Linked DNA regions of Caenorhabditis elegans. The protein of the gene in region 1 interacts with the protein of each later gene in a pairwise test. Each region holds a gene or a part of one and is shown on either strand. Other genes may lie near its edges.

Region 1 (4,201 bases):
TTTAAAATTTAAAGAAAAAAAATTAAACGTACTCTAAACATCCCATTCTGAAACTCAAATTTCAGAGTAAATTCTCATTCCGTCGACGTAACACAACTCGTCAAAATGAAAATAACGCGGTAGATCAACGTGTGAACAGCAATTGATTCAGCTCGTTTTTTCGAGAATATTCAATTCTTAATTCAGTTCCTTCAACGGGTCGTTCTATTTCACTCAACAATTGTTTTCTGATAGATTTTATTTTGTTTGTAAAATATTAATATTTCTAAATATAGACGTTTTCCATTTCTTCCCCTCTCACCCTTTCAGTACAGAATGGTTCCACTTTTCACACAACATTAATACATATCAAAAATTATTGTTCTATGTATGCATATATTTTTTCTGTGTATTCTCTTTGATAAGCCTTTCTGGTTGTTTATCAAATCAATGCTTTCAGTTCTTTTCACTCTTAATTTTTCCTGCAGCTTCAATTTTGTCTGTGATTTTCTTTCTTGTTTTAATATATTCGATAAATATTTATATTTTTAATTAATTCAAGAATTTATTTGGTTCATAAATAAATATCGATTCATTCAAATATTCATAAAGAAGTTTGTGACTTCCCTGATAGAAATGGAATGGCTTTTGCCATAAAATTATCTCGTGATAAATAACATCCACACATTTGTCGATATCCTTGAAATGATGTTCTTGAATGTAATATTCTAAAATTATCAATGAAGATCACTGATCCAGGTCGTAGAGAAATCTCGATAGAGTTGTCTGGATTATGGCAGATTTTTGAGAACTTTTCATATGCTTCATAGAATTTAATTGTTTCCGCTGCGGAAGCTTCAGATGAATTCAGACATGAGAATGGAGCGCGATCATAGGGATTAAACCTGTAAATATATTTGGAAGGTTCTATTTTTGAAATAAAAATTTACCTAATTTGTGTAATATTTCCAAAGGAATTTCTTTCAATTACTGGTTTTTCTAAACTGACACTGTGAATAGAAGAACCTGGTGGAGAACCTTCAAGATAGTGATGAGATATCTGGAAAAAATCTGGTAACTTTTATGAGTATGTATTCCAAAAGAGCGAACATAATTTGAAAGTTAACACTACATTTGTAAATATGTTGTTTATATTGCAGCAAAAATTAAAAATCACTAACCTTAGTATTGCAAAGTATCTCAAAATCTTCTGGGCTTTCGTTTCTCAACTTCTCAGCGCAATAAAACGAATCTACCAAAACCGTATCTCCGCCAGTTTTTGCAGGTGTGAGACAATGGAACACTTGAATTCCAGGTGTCTGATCAAAATATGTACCATCGGTATGAGGCCCAATTTCATCGCTTCCGTAAGCAGTGTCTTCGTATGCAGGTTCGTCCTGAAAGATGGAATCGAACGTACAACAATAAAAAAGCTATTACATTTGTTGCTGAATTGCTGAAAACCCAAAATTGGCCAAAAAATGTGTCATGGACTGGAACCAAACTTTGGCAAAGTTTTTCCGTCGCTTCTGATGTTCCTTCTACGCCGTCTACTATGATCACACCATACTTCACTAAGTTTTTCGAAAAGCTCTGAAGAGAAAGGGTAGATCTGAAACTCGCAAGATTTATTTTGAATTTTTATTACAGAAATATTTAAAACCACAAATTGGTCAACTTAAACTCACTTTGAAATTCGCGGTACATCTTTCAAGCTTTTAGAATTCCATAATTCATAAATTTTATTATCATTTGAGACATTTTTTTCTACTTTCCCTTCTCTGATAATGTTTCCAATTTTAAATTTTGATTGATGCCCGTCGATCCAAACTATTTGCAGTGAATTTGTTGCTTCATCAATTATTACTTGATTGGAATGCTTTATTTTGGATAAGCTTGTTATATCACAGCAGTTCGACTTTCTTTGATTTGTTGGAAGATGATAAAGTTTCTGAGAAGTACAGTGATCCCTGAGCCAAACGAACGGCATTATTAATTTCGACGGGTTCCCTATAAGAAAACTATTATAAATTTCAAAGTGAAATAATAATTATTAAAAATACTGGCCTTCATTCTCATAGCGTATTTCCAGGCAATCATTTTTTGAGCGAATATTCTTCAAATTCCAGCCGGTAACCCATGTGAAACCTGATACAAGCCTTCTTTGTACAATCATGGCACCTAGCTGAAGAATAATTTTGAAGAGAGAAAGTGAAGAAGATTTCATTATATGACGAAAAAAAAGGTTTATAAATGAAGAACCAAACTACATTGAACTTTGTACAGACATGTACAATGGTAGATAGACACGTTATATACCAGCCACTAAGATAAGAAAAAGGACATTTATAGGTCATATGACAAGGACGTGAAAAATCGAATATTTAAAGTAATGTTTGACTGCAAGGCGGTTTTCGAAAGTGTTAGGAATTTATAGATTAATATTCAAATGATATACTCCTTTTTTCAATTAGCAAACGAGAAACGCTAATCTGGAATAAGTGATTCAAACTGTGTCTAGAATGTATCGATTGATGTTGCCTATTTTCAATAAAATATTGATCTCTGAAAAATAGGTTTATGTCCAGCGGAAGAAATTTAAAACATTTTATTAGTTTTGAATTTTATGTTTCAATAATCGACTAAATGATGTTTAAATTAATTGAAGGGCAACTGTATCTTATAATCCTGCCATCCTAATATGGACTTCCAGGTGCTTCTGAGTTGTCAGTCCAATTCTTTAAGAAATCTCACCCCGGGGGAAAATGTTTGAAATCAGTTCAATTGTGCTAAATCTTTTCAAAAATGTTTTTGAAATGTGTTGATAATTTTATTGGGCAGTTCGGGTTTTCCTTTCCCGTGTCCAATTTCCTTCGCATCATAATGACACTCATATTATACTTTTTTAATTCGACCAAAAATAGTTTTTCTACGATTTTTATATTCCATTCACTTTTCAATAATAATTAACCAACCAAAAGTTGAGACATTCAACAAATCTCTAAATTTCTCAAGAATTCCTACTTTTCCAAAATTTGGCAATTTGCCAAAACTATGGCTACAAATTTTGAGAAATCTAAAACCCCTCGGAATGATTTTTTCCGCTTCCTTTATGGTACAGTCACAAATTTTGTGCAGAAATCCACCGCCTTGTTCAGCAGCAACTTGTTGAAATTATGTTTCCAAGCCAATAATCAAAAAATGATAACCAGAAATGGGAACGCCCCTTTTTAACAAATCAGCTTTGATTTAGGCTTGCAGGGAATGATAAGATGGTTTCCTCTAGAAATTTGTTGATGAGATGATAAGAAACTCACAAGGAAAATACTTTTTTAGAACTAAAAGGTGCATCAAATGTGCAAAGTTCGTGTGACTGTAAACAAATTGTAGTGGTGATTATAGTGTAGACTGGGGAAGTGGAGTGGGAGAGAGATCCAAAATGTGTGAGGTTTAGAGTGGAAAGAGAGAGTGTTGGGTTGTTGAGAGAGAATACGTGTTTATTTCGTTTTTTTTTCTTACCTTCAGTTTAAAAATCAATACTTGGTTTCTGATCTAGTTGTAATTCTTTTTAAATTGTTTATAATAGTCAACAAGCATAAATTGCTTTTAATTGACAGCATTTTCTAATTTATTTGAATTTAATTCAAGACATTCGGATTTAGAAATTATAGATTATGAACTATTGAATAACTGACTATAAAAATAATGTTTAAAGAACTTCTCCAACGCCTAATTAATATCAATGTAGTTTCTACGAATGTTGCGCATAAAGAAAATAATTTTGGAAACATGTCTTTTGACACACAGTAAGTAAACTTTTAAATTAAAAAAAAAGAATTTAATGTGAAATTTAGATTTTATTTTTTTATTTGCTGCAATAATGTTTTGAAAGCCGGATCCGAAAATTGTTGCAACTTCGCTAAACATAATAATAAGTCTAGATCAATGAATCGATCCACATTCTTTACTGCCTATCACTGTTCAATTTCTCTAATTGTAAGTCATAAAACAATTGAATGCACCTCAATCCCCATATGGATTCCTAGGAGAAAATATTTGAACTTGACAACGAGGAACGTTCAAAGAATGAGAGTACGTATTTGTCATCATTTTAGTGCACTAGACACCAGACAGACGGCGGCCTACGTGACTTATCGCGCGTTTTTCGGGTCCGAAACGTGAATCTTGCGAAGAAAAACCCCGCCTAAAAGTATCATTAAAG
Region 2 (5,236 bases), on another chromosome or scaffold:
TTCATCGAGACCCCCTCCCTCGAAACCCTAATTCAGCAAAAACAATAATACTGACTTTATCATTTTCTAGAGGAGAAGAAGCTCAGCGTCCTTGGCTCATCAACAAATCTTCTTGGAGATGACCTCGTCGATTTCACTGCTCGAACCAAAGTTCGTTTGATTCGAAGACACACTCAACGACTGCTGATGGAGAGTGAAGATGCCTGCTTCATTAGTCATCGAATCAACAATTCTCGACTTTTCGAAGGACGTCCAGAGCAGATTGTTGAATATCCGATTAGTGGAATTGATGCGTATAGGGTCCTGTCAAATTCTTATCCTGAATGGAGAACTCTGTATGAGATCTTCTCGTTGAGAGAGACGAAGACGAAGAGCAGAAAAGAGAACTTGGCAGCCATCCAACTTTTGTTCCAGATTGGGGTTCTTTTGGTTAAGAATTGAATTTTTAAAGAATTATTTATTTGAAAAACTTGCGTAAAGTAGGTTTTCTTTACTGTTTCTTTGTTTTTTTCTTGTTACCATCTTTTATGCCTACTCTTCGTGCCTACCAGGCGTGGGAGGCAGGCTTGTCAAATGTTTTTCATGTTATATTACTTTCTTTCTTGTTATCATTATTATTTGTGAATGAAATTTTTTTTTAATTTCCCAATCTAACCAAATATTTATTACAACTATACATCTAAACATTTTTTTTCAAAAAGAGATCAAGACGCTTGGCATATGTGAGACCTTTTGGAGAGAAAAGTGTGTGTGAAAAGTGAATCAAAAATATGTGAATGCTGGGGGAAGTTATTGCGTTTTTGGATTATTGTATTGCAAATCTGAAAAATGGGGCTTTAAAGGCACATAATGACGCTCTATCTAAATGTAGATCTTGCTGAAGCATGTGCCTTTAAAGTTCCGGAATGGGTTATGTCTTAAAAATAGTATACGGAAAGCATGACTGAACGAGAAGACGAGTATCACAGCCGGTTGGCGGTGGTTGAGGTACCATATCACTGTCGGAATCCGAGGTCGGGAGCACCGGCGACTGAGCGAAAGCTACTTTGGATTGTACGAGAGGAGGGGTTCTGAAATATAAGTTTTCTGGCCTAAAGTCTGATTTGGAGGTTTATACCTGAATTGGACGAAGTGGCTTCATTGGGACCTTATCAGAGAATTCTTCGTCGTAGCGTCCGGCACGGACCTCGCGGAGCTTGTCGAGCTGGAAACAATCAAAATAAGAAGTTTCCCAGTCTCATTGACTAACCTGATGAGAACTAATCGGAAGAGCCGCTCGGATGACAATCCAGTTGACAGTCTCTCGGAATGGATCAGTTGTCTCCGATCCTTCGTACATCCAAAATTCCTTCGTCTTCTCGGCAACCGGGAAGAATGTTTGGAAGTCGAATGAGCAGAGTTTGCATTCACTTCCTTTGTAGATCACTTGTGGTAGAAGATTGATCAACGGACTGAACACTGCGTTGTCGTCGTGGGATTCCTGGAATTTTAGAGGTCTTACGTCACAACTTTCTCATTCAAACTTACATTCAGAAAAACAGCGATCGCAATAACCCCATTGGGTTGTTTGAGAGCATCGGCCATTGTGGCGAATCGCGTATTCCGATGAATAAGATGCATTTCTCCTGCGTACCCAACCCCACCAATTGTGTGCTCGGATCCGTTCATCGGCTCAGTTGCCCAATGAAAATTTACAGCGTCCAGATGATATTGCTCTTCTGGGAGGAATGAAATAGCCAGCTCACTGCTGTTACCCTCACGCATCAGCCAAATCGAATTGCCATCGTTTACTGCTTTGAATTCACCGGTCGATTCGTAGGTTACTCTGGAATTTTGAAACTTTTATTTTTTGAAAAAAACATTCCGCTTAAATATCAAAAGCTTCAAAATCAATGTTTCTAAAAATAACGAGGGCACACACACAAAGTAGAAAAGCAATAAATTTGGCGAATTTGCCGCACACCCCTGTTTTAGATCTCTCCTTACTCAAAGTGTGCATTCTGAAGATGCTCGCCAAACGCAGTGATAACCGGAACGATATCAATCGGCGACTGAGTCCTTCCCAACGATGGCACATTGAGCACCTTGCCCAATGAATCCAGCTTCACCTTGTTCAATCCAGTTTTAAAGGCACTCTCCATGAACTTTGGAGCCTCTTTCAATTGATTCAACGAGTCAGCGATTGATGGAGCCGCCGCTTCGGCTTTTTGCTTGAGTTGGGCAAACCCACCCTGTAGTTGACTAAGGAATGCCATGGTTGGTGGGAGGTGGAGATGAAGATGGTTATTACTGGAAAAAATTGAGATTAGGGTTTAAAAATAAATGGAAAATGATTGATGTAAAATAAGATTTTTCAGAATTTTGAAAAAATTTCAGAGAATAAGATGTCTTAAAAATAACTTTTTAAATTAACAGCGACCGAAGCGACCTTATGAAGCCTGCTTGTTTCTAAATCAAAAAATTATTTTCAGAGTTAACGGAGCAATAATTGGTAGCTTGTTTTGCGAGCTCAAAAGCAAAAAATGTTGACAGATCTAAGCTCAAGGAAATTGAGCTATTATGAGAAAAGGAGCAATGAATCGAGCATATAGGATATTTATAGGGGGGAAATTGAGAGCTCATTGAAAGGGAAACTATATTACTTTTCTCACATATGTTAGATGAATATTTTTTGTCTCGACGAAAAAAAGCCTATGAAAAGTGACGTACGAAAAACCAAAAAGTCATGCCGAGCCATAGTTAATGAGCGAAGAATTTTTTACAGAATTTAGGAAAGCGCGCGGTTATGCGTGAAAAACTTGCTGATTTTTGTTTTTGGGCGTCAAAATCTTAATTTTAGATTTTAGAGTTACTTGATTAGCGTCTTCCTGCCTTGAACGTGCCTACTTTCAAAAAAAATATATTAAAATCAGGATGAGCACATGGAATAGATTTTAGCGTTGACTAAAATGCACAAAAATAAGCGGTAGGCAGGCAAGAGGTGCGCAGCAGTGAAACATGGTGCATTGTGTCTGCACACTTTCGTCTAGCCTACGTCCGTAAAACACCGTATTTTACATACACTTCTAGAGTTATCAGAAGTGAACAAGTATATTCGGTAGCACGTCAAACAGGGTGCACTGTCTTGGTGTCAGCAAACTTTTTTATGAGCTCACTTTTTTGATGCACCATATCTTACGATTAAGTTTGTTTTTGGCAAAAGTGGGTATATGCTCTACGGAGCATAACCTGGCTTTAAAAAATATTTGGTGCAAAAAATCGAACTTTAAAAATTTTTTCAGTACGCGCCAAACATAGTGCATCAATTTGGTTTTTTGCACTATTCCTCTAACCCCCCGTCGGAGATGCACCATATCTTACGCGCAGGTTTCTCCGAATTTTTAGTAAATCACGCGCTTCAATCCCCGTTATTAAACCAACCCTGTGATTCGGCTCGAAATTCTTTCGTACAACCGTCTGTTATTCGCGTTTTGAAATCAGAAGACAGCTACAAAAAGAGAAAAGGGAAAACAGAGAATTTGAATCAGTGGAGGGAAGAAGTCAGCCAATGACGGGCGGCGCATAGTGAATTGAAAAAGAAGGAAATAAATGGAAGAAGCAAAAGGGAAAAAACATAGAGAAACGGCTAAATAAGACTATAAAGTGACGTGGCTGACGCTTTGAAATTGAAATTGAAAACATCGAAGCGACTGAAGTGAGGGGAAGAAAACAAGGGGTTTTTGGTTTTGCAGAACTAAATTTGTAAAAAAATAATGGCGGGAAATAGGTGTTCAGATTCTAAAAAAAACACTCTACAAGTGAAAATAGTGAAGCAGCCGACATCTAACGGCTCTACGATAGCCCAATAGGGCGAGGCCCGTGAGATGTCGGGCGTTGATGCCCACCGTACTCTTTGCTTATGGTGGCTGTTGGAGGTATTAAAAAGCCGTTAACTCCAAATTTTCGAAAAAAAAAAATTTCAAAGAAATTCCAAAATTTATTTCAAATAATTAGAACTTGACAAAAAGTTGTTTTTTGCATTTTTGTTGGAAAAGTACACTAAAAATAAAGCAGCCGACATCTAAAGGTTTTACACAAGCCCAAGGCGCGGTCGTGAGATGTCGGCCGCTGTCGCTGACCAACTTTGACAGCGCATATCTCTGTGGATTTAAAAGTTATCTAAAAAGTAAAACTACGAATTTGTGTGAAAATTTATTTTCTATATTTTTTCAATTAGTGTATGTTTTGTAGAGTTAAAACAGCAAAGATTTAGGGCCTCGAAGTTAGTGGAGAAATTTTAAAAAAATCAAATAACAGGAAGCCTAGGGAAATTCTAAAATTCCGAAAAGTTTTCTGCTCGACCAAGCAGTAGACAGCTTCCGGTTTAAGAACCGGACGCCGCCATAAAAAAAAACCAAAAACCTGCCGAAAATGAAAAAAAAAGTGGAAAAAGTTGAAAGTATCAACAGAGTCTCCTCCTCCTGCTCAAAAAAGTCGATAGAGTCGCGCGCCTTCTCTCGAGTAGAGGGTAGGAAGACCACTGGCTGCTCGAGCTGCTCGGCTGCACACATTCTTCGATGTAGGGAATGTGGGGGGGGGGGGGGGGGCCGCCGCAATGCTTTCGATAATTCTTCTAGATTTTCTTCTTTTCTTCTCTCCCTTTTACATAAATACATGCTGCACATACACTTGCAATTATTCTGAATGGGTGGTGGGGAGAAAAAAGCGACGAAAAATGAAAGGAATCTTTTGAAGAAGATCAGGAGGTGTCGAGAATTTGATACCCGTGAAGCTCTAGGAGAATGAGAATCCGGAAGATAATGGGGATCAGTTTGCAGAAAAAGTGTGCTCCGAGGGTTGTAGCTCGATTTGATTGAGGAGAAAAATCAGTGGCTGAGGTTTCTAGTAGAAAAGTCTATAAGTTTAGTTTTGAAAAATGTTCCACTTGGACGGTTTAGTGTATATACTATCTAAAAATCTCAGAAATATAGACAGCTTTAGTTGAAAGTGTCACTAATTTAATAGGCGATCAAATCGAGATTTTTGTGGGTCCTGCCACGATATTGAAGTCATTCTTCATAACGGTTTACAAAAACTCGGCCACATCATGAAATTAAATAGTGAAATTTTGAATGGGCTCGTAGGAACAACAAAACCCCAATTCAAGGCCATTTTCGGCAAGATTCATGAGAGAAAAATCGATTTTTTTTTAATCTCAAATAAATCGTGGCCGAGGTTTTGCTTTTTCTAGGCCACG

What was found.
Region 2: the proteins of gbh-2 (region 1) and cah-6 interact in a two-hybrid assay, tested with the Caenorhabditis elegans proteins (one large-scale study listed by BioGRID).

What each region holds. Positions count from the first base shown.
Region 1 is NC_003280.10:8,483,892-8,488,092, reverse strand, and holds gbh-2 (Trimethyllysine dioxygenase, mitochondrial), read right to left. Parts: upstream 2,215-4,201; 5' UTR 2,156-2,214; coding exon 2,047-2,155; intron 1,990-2,046; coding exon 1,668-1,989; intron 1,592-1,667; coding exon 1,420-1,591; intron 1,377-1,419; coding exon 1,161-1,376; intron 1,040-1,160; coding exon 930-1,039; intron 885-929; coding exon 584-884; 3' UTR 522-583; downstream 1-521. Other genes in the region: T13H5.1 (Receptor-type tyrosine-protein phosphatase kappa), read left to right, coding at 66-146.
Region 2 is NC_003279.8:3,626,490-3,631,725, reverse strand, and holds cah-6 (Carbonic anhydrase), read right to left. Parts: upstream 3,481-5,236; 5' UTR 3,421-3,480; intron 2,290-3,420; 5' UTR 2,256-2,289; coding exon 1,987-2,255; intron 1,826-1,986; coding exon 1,528-1,825; intron 1,481-1,527; coding exon 1,250-1,480; intron 1,205-1,249; coding exon 1,118-1,204; intron 1,071-1,117; coding exon 996-1,070; 3' UTR 614-995; downstream 1-613. Other genes in the region: jmjc-1 (Bifunctional lysine-specific demethylase and histidyl-hydroxylase NO66), read left to right, coding at 71-441.